Linked DNA regions of Oryctolagus cuniculus. The protein of the gene in region 1 interacts with the protein of each later gene in a biochemical or structural test. Links are inferred from orthologs where the notes say so. Each region holds a gene or a part of one and is shown on either strand. Other genes may lie near its edges.

The links.
Region 2: of the proteins of ATR (region 1) and ATM, one has a biochemical effect on the other in vitro, tested with the Homo sapiens proteins (2 studies listed by BioGRID, with this or other methods). The link is inferred for Oryctolagus cuniculus from reciprocal best matches to the Homo sapiens genes ATR and ATM.
Region 3: the proteins of ATR (region 1) and RPA1 form a complex in vitro, tested with the Homo sapiens proteins (2 studies listed by BioGRID, with this or other methods). The link is inferred for Oryctolagus cuniculus from reciprocal best matches to the Homo sapiens genes ATR and RPA1.
Region 4: the proteins of ATR (region 1) and ATRIP form a complex in vitro, tested with the Homo sapiens proteins (4 studies listed by BioGRID and IntAct, with this or other methods). The link is inferred for Oryctolagus cuniculus from reciprocal best matches to the Homo sapiens genes ATR and ATRIP.

The regions. Positions count from the first base shown.
Region 1 is NC_091435.1:139,335,979-139,340,370, reverse strand, and holds part of ATR (serine/threonine-protein kinase ATR), read right to left. Parts: intron 4,171-4,392; coding exon 4,015-4,170; intron 1,313-4,014; coding exon 1,120-1,312; intron 882-1,119; coding exon 619-881; intron 1-618. UniProt on the Homo sapiens protein: Serine/threonine protein kinase which activates checkpoint signaling upon genotoxic stresses such as ionizing radiation (IR), ultraviolet light (UV), or DNA replication stalling, thereby acting as a DNA damage sensor.
Region 2 is NC_091432.1:100,091,609-100,096,000, reverse strand, and holds part of ATM (serine-protein kinase ATM), read right to left. Parts: intron 3,774-4,392; coding exon 3,660-3,773; intron 2,969-3,659; coding exon 2,751-2,968; intron 2,056-2,750; coding exon 1,848-2,055; intron 223-1,847; coding exon 109-222; intron 1-108.
Region 3 is NC_091448.1:47,388,720-47,393,111, reverse strand, and holds part of RPA1 (replication protein A 70 kDa DNA-binding subunit), read right to left. Parts: intron 4,039-4,392; coding exon 3,906-4,038; intron 2,782-3,905; coding exon 2,679-2,781; intron 1,105-2,678; coding exon 1,036-1,104; intron 890-1,035; coding exon 697-889; intron 557-696; coding exon 417-556; intron 63-416; coding exon 1-62. UniProt on the Homo sapiens protein: As part of the heterotrimeric replication protein A complex (RPA/RP-A), binds and stabilizes single-stranded DNA intermediates that form during DNA replication or upon DNA stress.
Region 4 is NC_091441.1:100,606,379-100,611,300, reverse strand, and holds the start of ATRIP (ATR-interacting protein), read left to right. Parts: upstream 1-1,599; 5' UTR 1,600-1,705; coding exon 1,706-2,033; intron 2,034-3,576; coding exon 3,577-3,707; intron 3,708-4,922. UniProt on the Homo sapiens protein: Required for checkpoint signaling after DNA damage. Required for ATR expression, possibly by stabilizing the protein.

The DNA.
Region 1 (4,392 bases):
GACTGGAGACACATTAAGAAGGTCTCCGGTATCATCAAAGAAAATACCGAATATTGAACCTCATGATATTAAACCAACCATCAGGTATACTCTGTCCGCCTGTTAAATCACAAAAATCTAGTGTTGTGGCTCAGTGGGTAAAGCCAACAGCTGCAACACCAGCATCCCATACGGGCACGGGTTCCAGTCCCAACTGCTTCACCTCAGCTTCCTGCTAATAGCCTGGGAAAAGCAACAGAAGATGGCCCAAGTGCTTGGGCCCCTGCGACCCACATGGGAGACACAGATTAAGCTCCCGGCTTCTGCCTGGCCCAGCCTTAGCTGTTGCAGCCTTCTGGGAAGTGAACCAGTGGATAGATTTCCATCTCTCCTTTTCTCTCTGTAACTCTTTCAAATAAATAAATAAATCTTTTAAAAAAATCTAAAAATCACTTCTTTTACTGACTCTGTGACATATTCTAATACCATTCATCCATTTATAAATAATCACTACTAAGCATTGAATCTATCAACAATGTCACTTGTTATCTTTTAAGGCCTTAGGCTAGTTCTAGCACTGATTTGAAAAACAGTTTTTCAAATAGGTTTTAAAATATTAAGTAAATCATAACGACTCACCAAGTTTTACTGGGCTAGGTATTTTTTTTTTCAGTAGGAAAAGGAATGGCTTGCAAACAGAAGCTTTTAGTTGAGAAGATGAACATTCGTGTGGGGAAGTGGCTTTCAGGTTCTTACAGAACAGATCCATATGTCCATGTTCAGAGAATGGTTCTGTTAAAGAACTTGTCAAATGAAACATGCCATGAAGGCTACAGACAAGCTGACCAAGTACAGAGGCAAATTCTCTCTTGACAATGTCAGAATCATCTTTGACTTTATCTCTGGAGAAAAAGAAAGAAAAAAAAGCAAACCTCTTGCTTAATTTTTTGGGTTAAATGGTCTTAACTTGGGACAAAATTCTGGTAAGACAAAGCTTATCAGGAAAACATGTTTAATCCTAAAACAAAAGCAACAATTGCTCTACATATTCAGCAATAAACATTAACGTCCTAGGTACAGCCAGAGAATTATGACCTTTCTCATCTAGTGACATATTCAAATTAAAATCTTAATACATACATAAGGATCTTGGGAACTCTGTTGCAAGAATTCTGCTGCTGTAATAAGATAAAAAATCCACTAATACAACTAGCCCGAATTACTTCATGGCAGCTCTGCAGGGCCCAGTTGTGAACTGCTGTTCTCCATTCAAGGAATATTCTTCTTGGAAACAGAGTTAGAAGAAACACACATCGTGACTGCGCCTGTGGTGCTGAAAAAGATTAAATCCATTAAACACACACACATGTGTGTAACGTCAAGTAACACTTAAAATACACAGAATATCTAATCAAAAGCCCCTTTTCAGAAAATAAAACAGGTACAGTGAAAAAGGTCTGTGCACAGCCTTATTAAGTAATCAGAGAAATAAAAATTGAAAATCATATACATCAGATAGAAAAATAAAAATTAAGATAGTTATCACTAATGACTTCTTTTTTTCTTTTTTCTATGTAACAAAAAATTTCAAAGCCTAACAAGGTTATGTATCAGAGAGGATGTGGAACAACAGGTACTCTCATATTCTATTAACAGAAATATAAATTGGCAGGCACATCACTGGAGAATACAGTAGAACAGAGCTGAGGATAAGCAAACTCTACAATCCAACAATTCCATTCTTAGTCTGAAATACTACTTCTTAGGGAGCCACGTTGTGGCACAGCAGGTAAAGCTGCTGTCTACAAGGCTGGCAGCTCATATGGGTGCTGGTTCATGTCCTTGACTGCTTCATTTCCAATCAAGCTCCCTGCTAATGGCCTGGGAAAAGCACTGGAGGATGGCTCAAGTGTTTGGGCTACTGCCACCCATGTGGGAGACCTGGATGAATTTCCTGGCTCCTGGCTTCAGGGTGGCCCAGCCCTGGCCATTGTGGCCATCTGGGAAGTGAACCAGTATATGGAAAATCTGTCTCTCCCTTTCTCTAACTCTGACTTTCAAATAAATTAATTAATTAATTAAAAAAAAATACTGCTTCTCAAGCTTTAATATGCATATGAATCACCTGAGGTCTTGTTAAAACAGTTTCTGATCCTGAAGGTCTTGGGGGAGCACAAGATTCTCTACTTTAACAAGTTCCCAAATGGTGACATCACCACTTACTGCTCTGGGGACTACACTTTCCAAATAGCAAGGCTTTGGAATAACCACATGGTCACTTATTAAAATATCCTTGGAAATTTTGCTTGCATTTATAAAAAAACTGGAAACAATCTGATGGCCTGCCAATAGGTGGCTAGATAAATAGTGTTTATCCACACACTTGAATACTATTGAGAAGTTTAAATAAAATAGCAGAGTTACATGTATCACTATGGGTAACTCTCATGAAGATAATATTGACCAACAAAATGGAAGTTATAAAGGAAATATAATTCTGTGTATTATTTAGAGATAAACATATATAGTAAAAGTAATCAAATATTCATGAGAATAATAAATACCAAATTCAGAACAGTAGTTATCTCTGCGGAGAATGAAGAGAAATTATCGGAGGAACAAAGGGGTTCCACTATATCTCCAACATTTTATTTTACTTTTTAAAAATAAAAACAAAGAATTTTTAAGAGACACAGAGAGAGACAAATAGGGAACTCTCATTCACTGGCTCACTCTCTGAATGCCAGAAATGGCCGAGACTGGGCTGGGCCAAAGCCAGAAGCAGAATCTCAGTGTCCTCCATGGGTGGAAGGCAGCCATCACTGTTATCCTGCAGGGTCTGCAATAACAGGAAGCTGAAGTCTAGAGCTGGAGCCAGTTACCACACTGAGGTAGTTGAATACGGGGCCCAGGCATCTAAGTAGTTGTCTTAACTGCTGACAACCAGTAGGTCAAATACCCACTACATCCTTAACAATTCCTTCCTTCCTTCCTCCCTCCCTCCCTCCCTCCCTCCCTCCTTCCCTCCCTCCCTCTCTCTCTCTCTCTCTTTCTAAGATTTTATTTATTTATTTAAGAGGTAGAGCCACAGAGAGAGGAAGAGTCAGAGAGAAAGGTTATGTCTTCCATCCACAGTTCATTCCCCAAATGGCCACAATGGCTGAAGCTGAGCCGATCTGCAGCCAGGAGCCAGGAGTTTCTTCAGGGTCTCCCACAAGGAAAGGGGCCCGGTTTCCCAGCCCATAGCAGAGACCTGGATGGGAAGAAGAGGAGTAGCCAGGAAAGAACCAGTGCCCACGTGGGATGCCGGCAGCACAGGTGGAGGCTTAGCCTACTACGCCACAGTACTGGCCCCAACATTTTATTTCTTAAACTGGGAAGTTGTTAAAAGTATTTGGTGTATTGCTTTCCTTTTTTTTTATTTGTCAAATATTTCATAATTTTATTAAGTAAAGATAAAGATATGTAAAAATATATTTCAAACTTTTATAGAAAGAAAGGAAATGGGATATCTTGGGGTAGACTTTCATTTTTTACTTTTTACACATATAATTCTTTTTTGAATTATTAAAAATGTACCATCTTGGAGCCGGTGCTGTGGCACAGTGGGTAAAGCCACCACCTGCAGTGCCAGCATCCCATATGGACACCAGTTCGTGTCCTGGCTGCTCCACTTCCAATCCAGCTCTCTGCTATGGCCTGGGAAAGAAGTAGAGGATGGCCCAATTCCTTGGGCCCCGGTACCTGTGTGGGAGACCGAGAAGAGGCTCCTGGCTTCTGGCTTCAGATCAGCACAGCTCCAGCCATTGTGGCCAATTGGGGAGTGAACCAGTAAATGGAAGACCTCTCTCTCTCTCTCTCTCTCTCTGCCTGTACGTCTCTCTCTGTGTAACTCTTTCAAATAAATAAATAAATCTTTGAAAAAAAAAGTACTATCCCTTTTAATTATTGAAAAATATAAATTATAAGTATTAGAAATGCTAAATAAAGTTAAAATAAATCACACACATTAGACAAAATTTTGTGACTACTTACAGTAGCTATCTGAAATCCTCTCACTTAATGCTAGAAGATTAGTGGCAAATGTGGTCAACTTCAAAGAGCCATCATCAGAATGAGGATAAATCCACGGAAGTGAAAGCATTCCACACAAATCTTCCAGGATATGATCTTCAAATGGACTTTTTACTACTGGAACACACAACAGGTGCTGTACGTTATATCTTTCATTTAAACCCTGTCTCCTTTTTAAGTAAAAACAGACATTTGAAATATCAAATGGAATTATAATGTACAAGCAGGAAAAAGGGATTCTTAATATAGAAATCCATGAATGTTCTGAAGTCTGTGAATTCAAAGACATGAGATGTCACTATATTAAAATGTTTTTTCAAAAGGATCACTGCATCAACA
Region 2 (4,392 bases), on another chromosome or scaffold:
TATAACACAATATATATATAACACAATATAATATAACATATAACAATATAACACAATATATATAAATAACAATATAGTCACTATGATTTAGTTTTCAGGTTTACTTACATTATTGAGGACTTCATGAAATCCCACTCCTCCCATCATTTTGGTTCCCATTCTAGCAGCCAGTTGGTACATTAGAGGCAAAAATTTGTATGATGGAATCTCCATTCCAGGTCCCTTTCATTTATAAAAGGGTATAAAATTAATAAACAATACATTTCAAATATTTTCACAACTAAACAAATAAATTATCCTAAGTTATTGATCCTCTTCTAGCAAAACCAATTGGTTATCAACAAAACTTCACTATGAATTTCCTTGTTACTTCTATCTGAAAGGCTTTATCGTAAGTATTCTAGATTGGTTCAAAGGTAAGTCAAGGGCCTGCACTGTGGTATAGCGGTTAAAGCCGCTGCAGGAATCCCATATGGGTGCCTGTTTGAGACATGGCTGCTCCACTTCCAATCCAGCTCTCTGCTATGGCCTGGGAAAGCAGTAGAAGCTGGCCCAATTTCTTGGGCCCCTGCACCCGCTTGGGAGACCTGGAAGAATGTCCAGGCTCCTAGCCTCAGGCTGGCGCAGCTCCTGCCATTGCAGGCCAATTGAGAAGTGAACCAACGGCTGGAAGAACTCTTTTGCTCTCTCTGCCTCTCGTTCTCTCTGTGTGTTAACTCTTTCAAATAAATAAATAAATCTTAAAAAAAAAAAAAAGAAACAGAAAGTTCGGCAAACTTTAAAAAAAGAAAAAGAAAAGAAGGTAAGCTGAAGTATTTCTTTCTAATTTCAATTGTATTCAGAACTGGAGGGCCTGTGCTATGGCATAGCGGGTAAAGCCACCGCCTGCAGTGCTGGAATCCCATATGGGCGTCAGTTCGAGTCCCGGCTGTTCCACTTCCAAACCAGCTCTCTGCTGTGGCCTGGGAAAGCAGAGATGGCCCAAGTCCTTGGGCCTGTGCACCCACATGGGAGACCCAGAGGAATCTCCTGGCTTTGGATTGGCGCAGCTCCAGCAGAAGCGGCCATCTGGGGAGTGGGCCAGTGGATGGAAGACCTATCTCTCTCTCCCTCTCCTCTCCTCTCTCTGTGCAACTCTGAATTTCAAATAAATAAATAAATCTTTTAAAAAAAGAACTGGAATATCTGGTACTGCTTATATTCCACTGAATCTAAGGAGCATGATTATAGACACGAGTACTACCATAACACAGAATCCTGAGAAATCAGTGTACAATTAAATCCTTATATACCCTGGCCTATAGGATTTAATGTATACTTTGGCAGAGATGGGGCCTGTGTATTATGAGTCTTATTATTCTTTTCATCCAGGGGCATTATTTTACTTTTAACCTTCAAATTCACTGACAAAATCTACCTTGTCAATATAAACTTTACCATTAGGTGTTATCATTAAAATCGAAGATTTTTAAATAAAAATTTCTGAAATATTGACATCTAGATTTTTCTTTAAAATGTGTTTCCATTTATAAAAATAATTCACTCTAGTAGTCCCAGACAAGCAGGAACCCACTAGTGACTGATTACATTATCTTTAACTTCTTTCCAAATCCCTGCATTTAGTGCCCTCCTCTGGGCACTACTCTCCAGTGGTAACTGCAAAGATATAGGAAAAGACCTAAATTTTTTCATCTCCACAGAAACCTGTATCATTTAGAATTTAAGTGCTTCTGTAAAGAGACCCAATCTAATGCTCAAGATACAAAAGGATTTACAAAGTCCCTGAATCAAAGGGCTTATGTCAGCTTTTAAAGTGCAAGTTAGAATGTTGGGTTGAATAGACTTGCCTTCATCATGCCATTGACTTCAGGAACTCCAGAGTTTTCAAGCCAGAGAGAACAAAGTCGAAATACCCACATATCATGTTCTTCTCCACTTAATAAGCAGTTGATGTAATTTTCAACTGCTTTACATAAGAAGCGTTTGCGATCCTCTTTCAGTGCACGAAGTGCACATTCATCCAGCTCCAGCTCTCGCTGAACCTTTACTGTGTATCTTGCATTAAAAGTAAAATACAAAAGCCATTAAATTTTACATTACTACAAAACCATATATGATATATACATAACTGGGAAATCAAGAGTCCTTACAGGAGAAAAAGCAAAATTCTAAGAATTATAAAGTAAACAAACTTACTTTTGCTTTCATTATGCAATTCATAAGCTTTCCTAAGCAAAGGAGGGCAGAGTGAACTCTATTCAAGCTATTTAGTTAACTTATCCTCTACTTATGACAGGGACTCATTACCCACATTGTCATCTGCTGCCTCTTATATGTATCAGCAGGCAACTAGATCAGAGCCAGCACTTAAACCAGACACTCTGCTATGGGATGTGAGCATCCCAAGTAGTGGCATAACCCACTGCACCACAATTCCTGCCCCAAGTCTTCTGTTTTTAATTTCCTATCTATCTCCTTTTCAGCTGATACCAACTAACAAATTAAAAATCAAAACCCAAAAGCTAACACCTAAACACTACGTGAGTTTAGAACCAGATTATGAACACCTCCTCAAAGAACACATGTCAGCGTCTTACATGCTCATTTGAGATAACCACTGTGGGGCCAAGACAATCTATACGTATGCTGAAAATTATAATCAGATAAAAAAATCAGATCACATTTTTCACAGATAGATTCATTCAGTTAACTTGTGAACATAAAGTTATCACCTGTAGACATCTACTTACCTGTTAGTCTGAATCTTATGTTCCCTCAGGAGGCCCACTTCCTCTTTGGCCCTTTTTAGGAGGGCTTGCTTGTTTTCAAATTCTGATGATTTCATGTAGTTTTCAATTCTCTGGTACTGAGTATCTGAGAACCGTGCTAATGAGAGAAATGCCTTCATTTTCCCATTTCTGAGCTCATCATTATTTTCTCCATCACAACTTTCAGCAACTTCTACGGCCTTTAAGAACACACAATCCATTTAATTTACAAATACTAAACAATACAAATACTCAAAGTAATCTCATCCTCAAGTTTATATATGTAAAAGCTACATTATATGAAATCTATTATTTTCTTAGCCTTTCAAAACAACGCTGACAGTGAAGAAATAACCAAGACAGTATTTACAAAATGCAAATTGTGCAAAAACAAAGAGCATTATAAAATTTAAAGTTAATTACATCATTCTTTTCAAGTTATACTTATTTAAATCAGGTAACTATTTCCAAAATCAGCTAACTTAAGGAATAAGAAGGAGAAATCGGAAAGTCAAAGGGGGCTGAAGTACTGAAGTCCTAGCCTTTACTTGTGCGTGGTTGTACCACAAGTGAATAGTAAGGGCCAGCTTGCATGCTCCTTAATCAGCTATTTTTGTAGATGACAACATGGAGAAAGCATCAGAAACAACTTACGAAAGAGCAGCTAGTGGTGGGAAGACTGAGGAAGGGGAAGCCATACTTGGGATTTCTTTCAACATATGTTCCCTTGGTAAAATTCTGCTTACTTCTTGCCCTAAATATTATACAGAGTTCTAATAGTGATAACATATGGAAAAACTCATGTCTTTATTTGCTTTTGAAATATATTTGGACCTGATGCAAAAAAAATCAAGTATATTCATTAACTTAAGGGTTACTCTAAAAGCTCACCTTTTCTAGATAGGTCTGCATGATGACTGTAGGATTTTCTAAGCAAGTTTCTGCTAACCAGTTACCACAAACTCTCAGACATTCTGTGTGTATAAGTTTTAGCCTGGAATCATTCTGTTGAAAAAATGCAAAGTCTTAAAATATAATTCATTATCATGACTGTAAAAAAAAATGTCCTCCACGTAGGGAAAATAGACTATCAAAGTTTCTATGGGCTAGCGCTGTGGTACAGTGGGTAGGGCCACTGTCTACAACGCAGGCATTGCATATGGGCGAGTGTTCACATGTCCTGGATGCTCCACTTCCAATCCAGCTCCCTGCTAACAGCTTGCGAAGAGCAGCAGAAGCTCCTGGCTTCAGCCTGGCCCAGCCCTGGCCCGAGCCGCTATCTGGGGAGAGAACCAGCAGATGGAAAATCACTCTATTTCTCCCTGTCTCTCTCTGCAACTCTGAATTTCAAATAAATAAATCTTTTAAAAGAAGTTTCTGAACTATTTACAAATATTAATTTATTTGTATAATATTATTTATTTGAAAGGCAGAGGTAGAGAGAGACCAACAGAGATATCTGGTTCACTCTCCAGATGGCTGCAATCTGGACCACGGCTGGGCCTAAAGGTAAGAAACTTCCTCCAGGTCTCCAATATGGGATGCCAGTAATATAGGCAGTGGCTTATCCCACTATACTACAATGACAACCCCAGAAATACTGATTTTCAAGAATCCTTTTTAC
Region 3 (4,392 bases), on another chromosome or scaffold:
TCAGAAACTCTGGCTCCTTTGATAGCTAGCACAGGCTGTCTAGAGCCATCAAATCTATCAGCCTGCAAAAACAAGTGTCAAACACATACAAGTATCATTGGCAGGAAGAACACACAGAGCATTTTTACAGACAACAAAGAAAACAGCTAATGGTGGAGTGAGTGAAATCAACGTACAAAGAATCTATGCAAGACAAACCATACCCACAAGCTCTGCTCGGAACACATCAGCACGAGTCTGGGGCTACCTTCCCAGAGTTACAGGGAAGAGCATTTCGCCTCACAAAGTGTAAACCACTCGAAGCTGGCGGAAGTGAGCAAAAGGACAGCACAGCCAAGCCCCAGGACGCAGGGGACAAGTGCAGCACCCTCAGGAGCGCTTTCCGTGTGTGACAGCCGCTCTGTGCAAGTACTCACATCTTCTCCCCACAGAGTGGCAGTCACCACCTTCCCAGACGTGTCCATCAGATAGATATTTCTCTTAGCGACTTCTCTGTTGTTAGATTTCACTGTGATTTTTGTGGCATCTTCATAGCTCTTGCAGATCCCAATTATGTCTGCAACACAGGCACGTCGTGTCAGTGGAGAGATGGCCAGGGCTCCCGTCAAAACATGACCAAGAACTGCACAGTAATGCGTCCCTACACACCGCAGGTACAGTGAGAGACCACGGCTTTGTTTTCACACGCAGACTTACCTACAAGTGAGTCCTTGGGCTTATTCTCTAGGGCGTCGATCCCGGTGAAAGCAAACTGGACCGTGGGCAGATGGTGCCCGTCTTCACAGGGCATCACACTCGTCTCGTTAACGAAGGTCATCTCGTAGTCGTTTTTAACAGCTGTGAATTGTTTGTTGGCTATCTTCAGGGTGCCTTTTGAGAAATAATACACCTGCAAGAGAGGCCATGAAGTGTACACAGTCCATCAGGTGGGACATAAAAACCTTTCTTCACCACACAACGCTCCACTGGACCACACTCCCCTTGCTCTCACCCCACCATCCGGCTGGGTCAGTTCTCAATCCAGCACTACCATACCTTGTTCACTTCAATAAGGGGAAAGAACTTGTCCACCTGCTCATTGAAAGCAGTAGCTCTGATTTCACCCTGCAGAGGCAAGTGAGAGCCGGTCAGCATGGTCATGTTCAGCATCAAGTGTGACCCGCGAGAAACAGGCCGTGGGCATCGAGATGACGCAAGTGGGGAAGGGGACAGCCATTCCAGGCACACACCTTTTACAGGCACAAATTCCAACCGTTAGCCAAGTGACACAGGGAAGTTCAACTAGCTGACCCAGAATCATGCTTTATTAACCTCAGGTTAGAAAGTCAAAACAGGGGCCGGTGCTGTGGTGTAGTAGGTTAAGCCTCCGCCTGTGGTGCCGGCATCCCATATGGGCACCAGTTCAAGTCCCGACTGCTCCTCTTCCCATCCATCTCTCTGCTATGGCCTGGGAAGGCAGTAGAAGATGGCCCAAGTCCTTGGGCCCCTGCACCCACGTGGAAGACCAGGAAGAAGCTCCTGGTTCCTGGCTTCAGATTGGCGCAGCTCCGGTCATTGCGGCCATTTGGGGAGTGAACCAGTGGATGGAAGACCTCTCTCTGTCTCTCCCTCTCACTGTCTGTAACTCTACCTCTCAAAAAAAGAAAAAAAAAAAAATAAAAAGAAATTCAAAACAAACAAAACTCCAATAATTCAGTATTCTGTCAATAAGAACCAGAGTTCTTTTTTTTTTTTAATGTTAAAAGGAAGTGTTCCATTGTATTAAGGAAATTTTTTTTTTTTTTTTAAACTAGAACCAGAGAGTTCTGAACGCAATCGACACGAGTGAAGCCCACGGGGAAGTGCACTGAACCAAATGACTCCCCAGCTTCCCCCAGGCAGGTGTTGCTGCCAAAAATGTGTGCTCAAGTTACAGACGCTTTGATTTTCACTTTCACTTTCATAAGAAGTCAGTCAAAAGTCATCAAATGCGTAAAAAACTTAAAGGGCTGAAATTTCAGCCAAAGCGCCATGGATTAGATGCAGAATTTGTAAAGAGTTAAGGTCTGGTTCTGATCCTGTCATCATACAGTCTAACATTTGGGTGTTACCATCTCCCAAAAAAAGAAACCATTTTTTCTGCCCTCTTAGGGATCTGAACAAGAAGGAAGTACGCAGCAGATGGAAAAGAAAGCCTGATGTACATTTTAGGAATGATAAGCCAGACTAACGGGCAGACCGGCAGCTACCAAGATTGTCAGGATTCCACAGCCTGGAAACTTTCTGTCTCATCCCCTCAGTTCTGTTTACATAAGGTATGCGAGAGTCTGCACCATCAGAACCCGTTTCCCACACACCATTCTCTGTGCACAGTGCCTGCTGCCTTCCTCGGGGCCCAGCACCCGATTCGCTCATCAGCAGGCAGCACATCTGAGGCCACAGCTGAGCCTACAGCAAATCAGACATGGTGGCTCCGGCTCCTCCTGCCCAGGAGGCTACTTACACATTTGGAAAATCGATTTCTTCTGCTACAAGAATTTTATTTATGACCTGTAGCCCTCTACTCCCAGGCTGTATCAAAGGACTTACTGTAACAGAGGGAACATCAAAATGACAGTCAAGTTTCTTTCTGGCCCACTGTTACTTTTTCACCCGCTCGCAGGCATGCAGAGCTGACCACTGCTCCCACAAATACTCACGCTTTCATCAACCAGCTCTATGGAGAAAAGCTTCCCTTCCCCTCTGGAATTGCTCCAGGTGCGGATCTGGCTTTTGTTGGTAACACGAGCACAAATAGTCCACCTGAAAACCAGAGTGATTATATATGAGTAATTGCAGCCTTACTCAGAATAAAGATCAAGAAAGAAATCATCTTCCTATGGCTTTTCTCATCTTATGCACATTCCACTTTTTCACAATTAGCTGTATTTTAAACCAGCTAATTAATACCCCAGGTTTGACAGCTTACGGGATAAGCAAATAGCAAAACACGTAAAGTCATTTAACACTAACTCATTCTGTCAAATAAGTCAATTTATAAGCTCTCTTCCTTTACCAAAAAGGATTACCAAGGTAACAATGTCCCCCAATGAAGGGTTCCAAGCTAGAAAACAGCAGTAATTTCAGCAATTATATTTTGCCACTATTTGCATTATGGGAACTGATATAATTGGTGTCAAACTCTGTCTCACTTGCAGCAGAACTTGGTGTTGGTGGGCTTGCCACCCGAGGGAAACGCACTGAAGCAGCAGGACCTTGCCCAGATGCCACTAAGAAAGGAGGCACAGGATTCGAGAGCCAGTCTGGGTGTCCACCCTGAATGTACGTGCCTGGGGCCTGAGCTACACCTGACAGCGACACAGGGGAAAATCGTCCCCACATTACACACCGCTGAAGAGTAAATAAAAACACTGGAAAGCATTCAGGAAAGAGAACTCACTTTCAACTGCTCAATTTTTAGTAGACAAAAGTCATCTAAAATAAATACTTGTTCAGGGTAAGTTAACAAGGTTAACACAAACAGTATACCTCAGCCAACCAAATCACAGGAACAATTTTTAGGCTAAAAGGCATTTATTTCTATGAGATGATGAAATGCCTTTGGGATTAGCACAAATACTTATTTTTCCTCACAAGATTATCAACTGATTCTTTAAGCATTGCATATTTTTAATTCAAAATTCTTTCATAATGAGTGAAACCCCATAAGTGCTGGTGGATTCCTATTTTTGTCGTTCTTTTTGATAAGAGAGTCAAAGGCTGCCACAATTAGTACTTTCCTTCCCCTTGGGAAGAAAAAAAAAAAGAAAAAGAAAAAGAGGAATACTATTCTATGTCATGGTGATTCAGAAGTTCACACATAAATAACTCAAGAACCCAAAATGACTTCTGTTATTTTGTAGATACATTCCACAGCAGTAACTCACTTGGACTGGTAAGGGGTGAGGCTGGCAATGGGTACCACTTTGGACTGTGTTCCCCCAGCAGTGTTCAACAGACTGGAACCTCCAGATTTTCCAAATGCCTTTGAGGCACCAAAAGACTTAGATACGGGTGGACCTTTAAAAACAAAGCAAAGGATGATCATTATTCTATTTAACTTCAAAAATAAATTCTACAACAACTGGGTGCCACAGGTGAAATCCCACAAAATGAGAGGCACAACTTTTCCTTCTTAGCGTCCAAGAGATATGCAAACTGGAGAGAGAAGCAGAAAAGGCATCTAGAATGAAGGTGAGGTACACAGGAGCTCACTTAAACTTCCTGACTTAAATACACTGTCCCTACTTTCCTCTTTTTTTGTTTTTAGCATTTATTTAATTTATTTGAAAGAGCCAGAAAGACAGCGGGTGGGGGGTGGGGGGTGGATCTTCTATCCGTTGGTTCACTCCTCAGATGTGGTAAGAGCCAGGG
Region 4 (4,922 bases), on another chromosome or scaffold:
CTCCTCAGCCAGCGGCTTGAGGCCAGCTCCCAGCTCCTTTCCACCTGCACGTTCTCATAGATGCTGAACACTCCCTGTATTCCTCAGAAGACCAAAACTCCGCCATCACAATAGTGAGCTCTCCTGCTAACAATGAGTTTGCAGTCAGTCCCATTGTCTTTATTTTTCTCTCCCAGTTATCTACCATCTCTGACTAAAATGTAAACGTTAGGACAGTGACCATAAGGTGTGCTAAATGTGGAGGTACTCCAAAGTCTGCAGGAAGTGGGAGTTTATTTTGGTGGCAAAATATTTTGAAGCCCATGATAGTCACATGTATTTATTGTATCACTTCAGAAGCACAAGTGCAGGCCATTGATGCAGCTATGGGACTAAAGCTAAGCTTTCTCTGAGGATGTCCTCAGAGAGGCTTGTAGGCTTGGCCAGGTGAAAACTGGAAAAGTGACAGATTAAACCCTGTCCTGTGATTAACGTAGTCGATGGTGACAGGGTGCTTTGGTCCTCTGGGAAGTTGCACAACTAGCAGCTCCTCTGGGCTGCAGAACATTTCCCATGGGGCCTTGCAAGCTGGCACCCCGCAGTGTGCTGTCAAAATCAGTCCTTGCACCGCCCGTGAGAGCACACTGCCTCTGAGAGCAAGTCGCTGCTCTCTGGCAGAATCTAATCCCTCCTGATGGGTGATCCTGTCTTTCCAAGGCCAGAGACCTACAGCAATTAATATGGAAGCATTCGACATTTGTGCAGCCGAGTTTCAGAAAACACGAAAGCCTTCTAGGACTTGACAGCAGTCTGCCCTCACAGGTATTGGTAGGAGACTCAGGCTCAGTTTGGCACTGAGTACCCAAGGTTTAAGAATCTTGCTCCTGTTACTCTCCGTGCCAATCTCCCCTGTTCAACTGCTCTGCGCACCGCAGCTACCACTCTGGGAAGCCTTACTGTCTGCCATAGATTACCAACACCTGGCCTGCCTTGGGTGGGGAATTCTGCGCTAGCCTTCTACCCCTTTATCTTGCTGTCTCCCACCTGACAACCTGTAGGACAGCCCAGGTGCCACTTCGGGGGGGGGGGGGGGCTCTTCCTTGACCTGACCCTCACTCATCTTTATACAACCAGTGCTTGTGACAAATATGCTCCAGCAATCTCCGAGAGAATGAATGAATGAATGAATGAAAGAAGTCTGAGCACTTCCCACACGGATGGTTCTCCTTGGACCTGTCTTCCCGAAACCTACCTCAAATGCCACACATTTCACACTCCTCGCCTAATCTCCCTAAAGGAGCCTCGGAGTATGTGATGGAAAGAGGCAGCGAGCTCTCGGGGGCCAGAACCCTGAACTCTGCCTGCCTCGATTCAAACGCACAAGGGTGACTGTCAGGGCGAACTGTCCCCCGCAGTTCTGTGCTCTGCTGGGCGCCAGGCAACCTCGAGGTTTCCCCGAAAACCCCCGGCGCCGGAGCCGGGCTCAGCTGGGCGGAGAGGGGCGGGGCGCCATCGACACTGGCGGGGACTCGGCCGAGCCTGGCGGCGCGCTCGGAGAGACGTCATTTCTCCGCGCTCGCGGGCCGGCAGCTGATTGGCCCGTGGGGTCGGGGGCGGTGCATAAGAGGCTGAGGCGAGTGCCGGCTCGCGGGCGGTTGGCTCGCCGGCGGCTTCGCGCTGCCGTGTGGGATTTGGCGTCTTCAGATGCTTGGGGCCGGCTGGAGGCATGGCTGGGACCTCCGCGCCGGGCAGGAGGCGGAGCGGGCCCGCAGCCCCTCGCCCTAGCCCGCTGCCCTCCACTGGGCACCCCCCAAGCAAGCGGGCCCGGGGTTTCCCTGAGGCCGCCGCCCCGGACCCTGAAGACCCGTTCGGCGAGCACGGAGACTTCACCGCTGACGACCTGGAGGAGCTCGACATCCTCGCGTCACAGGCCCTGAGCCAATGCCCGGCCGCGGCCCGGGACGTGTCCAGTGAGTGCCCTTCCCGGCCTCTTCCCCGGAGGGCAGTGCAGACCGCACCACATCTCCTTGACCGCTGTGGCTTCCGAACTCCAGGCGAGCGCTGCCCCAGTGTCCTGAACTAACACTCCCTTAACCTTCTTAAAAATACAGTAACGCCCCGATTGGAGCAGTTGGTTGTGTTCCAGGAGCTCCCTCGATTTGGGGGAGAAATGCATCTGGAATATCACTTGGAAATATAGAAAGCTAGGTTGACTTTTTTTTTTTTTTTTTTTTAAGTTAAGGCTACTCGGTTCTTAAAAGGTTCTAAGCAGAGATCCGTGGAACACATCTACCGGAACCATGGCTACCCACGTGCGAGTCTTTAAATCTGAAGCCCTCGTGCCCCTTAGCATGAGCCTAGGAGGAGCCTAGCAGAGGCAACAGATCAAAAATTTATTCTTAGACAAGCTTAATCAGCGCCACATGCAGCCGGCCTACCAATTAACAAAATAGGGCACATCCTGCATGGCGCTCGCTCCGTAGTTGAGTCTCATGCGGCTTCCAGAAAGGTTTCCGGGACATCTTGCCTCTGTAGTTGTTTGACAGGCATCTGAAACTCAACACGGTAATGGTCCGGAAACCCAGGCCTCCTGCAGCGTCTCCCGCGCTATTCCCGCTCGGCAGACTTGGAGAAGACACCTGTGATGACCAGATGCTCCCCCCGGCAGACTGTCTTCCGCCTTCACCCTACCTCTCTTTCCTTTGCCAATCCTGCCCACTTCCTGGGTCTGTCTCTGGACTCCATCCTGTTCCCATGGTCTCTGAACTCCCTGAGAGTCCGCCCCTGCACGAGATTGCTAACCTGGCTCCCCATTCCCTGTGCTGACTGCCTGCAAGTCAGACTTCACACTACAGCCAGAACGATCCTTGCAGAACCCACACTGGGCCATGTCGCACAGACAAATGTGAACATAGCTGCCGGACGTCCTTTAATAACTTCCCTCTGCTTCTAGAATGAAGACCTAAACCCTTAACGTGCGTGGTCTGCCCCGACTGCTAGCCACACTAACTTTGCCTCGTTCTGTGATTGCTCCCTGTTTGCTTCTAATACAGGAACTTTGCACGTTGCTCTTTGTTACACACTGACTGTTCTTGCTAGCCATCTGCCCTCAGGGTTCAGTCCGGCTTGTCTTTGAACCACAGCTCCTGAAGGCTTCCTGAGGGAAGCCTTCCAGTCACTGCGTTTGGCTCAGATGCCTCTTAGCAGAGGCTCTCCTCACGGTTGTAATTTAACATTTATTTGTGTATGAAGACTGTATCTGTTGTGTTCCCCATGCCAGCTGTATTGGCGCTCAGTAAATACTGCTAAATAACGTGACACCGAGCTCTGGCCGGTGAGAGCCCCTCACCACCTCTCACCCTTCAGTGAGACTTGAAATCGGGTGAGGATATAGACAGGGTGAAAAGATCCACTATTTCCTAAGTATCATTTATGAGTTTGAATCCTCCTCTTAGGTTGGGAATTCCCTATATGTCTTGCTTATAGAACTTTCTCTACTTTGCTCTCAAGATTGATTCTTTTCAGCATTTTCTAGCAAAAGTAGGAAAATGTTGGGTGCTAAATTATGTATGGGAACTGTTTTTTCTTTTCCTACAGGTATTCATAAAGTTCCCAGGTTAGATGGGATGTCAAAAACTCCAGCAGGGAAAAACAGAGAAAGTGTACCTGTTAAAGATAATTTTGAGTTAGAAATACTTCAAGCACAATACAAAGAACTAAAAGAAAAGGTAAGTAATTTAACCTGTGGTTTTTGCAGTTAATTCATTCACTTACGTGTTAGAAGACATTGTACAATAAAAGATAAAAATATGAAGGTTTTTAAGAGCATAGATTCACAGCTACAAAATGAAGAACACTGGGGAAAGAAAGCCAGAACATTTAGGCTGAAGAATTATAGATTGTGAGGTTGCTTAGAGCTAGGCGAGAAGAAAAAATTATGGGAAAGGTATTTGGCACAGAACTTTAAGATGCTACTTGGGGCCGGTGCCACGGCTCACTAGGCTAATCCTCCACCTTGCGGCGCCGGCACACTGGGTTCTAGTCCCATTCGGGGTGCCGGATTCTGTCCCGGTTGCCCCTCTTCCAGGCCAGCTCTCTGCTGTGGCCAGGGAGGGCAGTGGAGGATGGCCCAAGTGCTTGGGCCCTGCACCCCATGGGAGACCAGGAGAAGCACCTGGCTCCTGCCATTGGATCAGCGCGGTGCGCCTGCCACAGCGCACCAGCAGCGGCAGCCATTGGAGGGTGAACCAATGGAAAAGGAAGACCTTTCTCTCTCTCTCTCACTGTCCACTCTGTCAAAAAAAAAAAAAAAAAAAAAAAAAAAGGCTACTTGGGATGCCCGCTTTCTGTATCGGAATGTTTGATTTAAATCCCAGCTCTGCTTCTGATTCCAGCTTCCTGGTGAGGCACACCCTGGGAAGCAGCAGATGATGGTTCAAGTGCTTGGGTCCCTGCCACCCATGCGGAAGACCCTGATTGAGTTCCAGGCTCTCAGCTTCAGCCTGGCCCAGCTCTAGCTGTTGCAGACGTTTGGGGAGTGAACCAACAGGTGGAACATCACTCTGTCACTCTGCTCTTCTAATTAAAAAAAAAGTTTTTTAGAAGGAAAAGAAACATTTTATACTAAATCCAAGAAGAGATAAAATGAGAGATGAATTTATGGTATGCATGTTTTTTTAATTTTATATTTAAATAAATTTTTTTAATTTACTTATCTGAAAGGAAGAATTACTGAGAGGCAGAAGGAGAGGTCTTCCATAAGCTGGCTCACTCCCCCAGATGGCCACAAGGACAGAGCTGTGCCAGTCGAAAGGCAGGAGCCAGAAGCTTCTTCCTTGTCTCTCACATGGATGTAGGGGCCCAAGTACTTGGGCCATCTTCCACTGCTTTCCCAGGCCATAGCAGAGAGCTGGATCGGAAGTGGAGCAGCCAGGACTCGAACA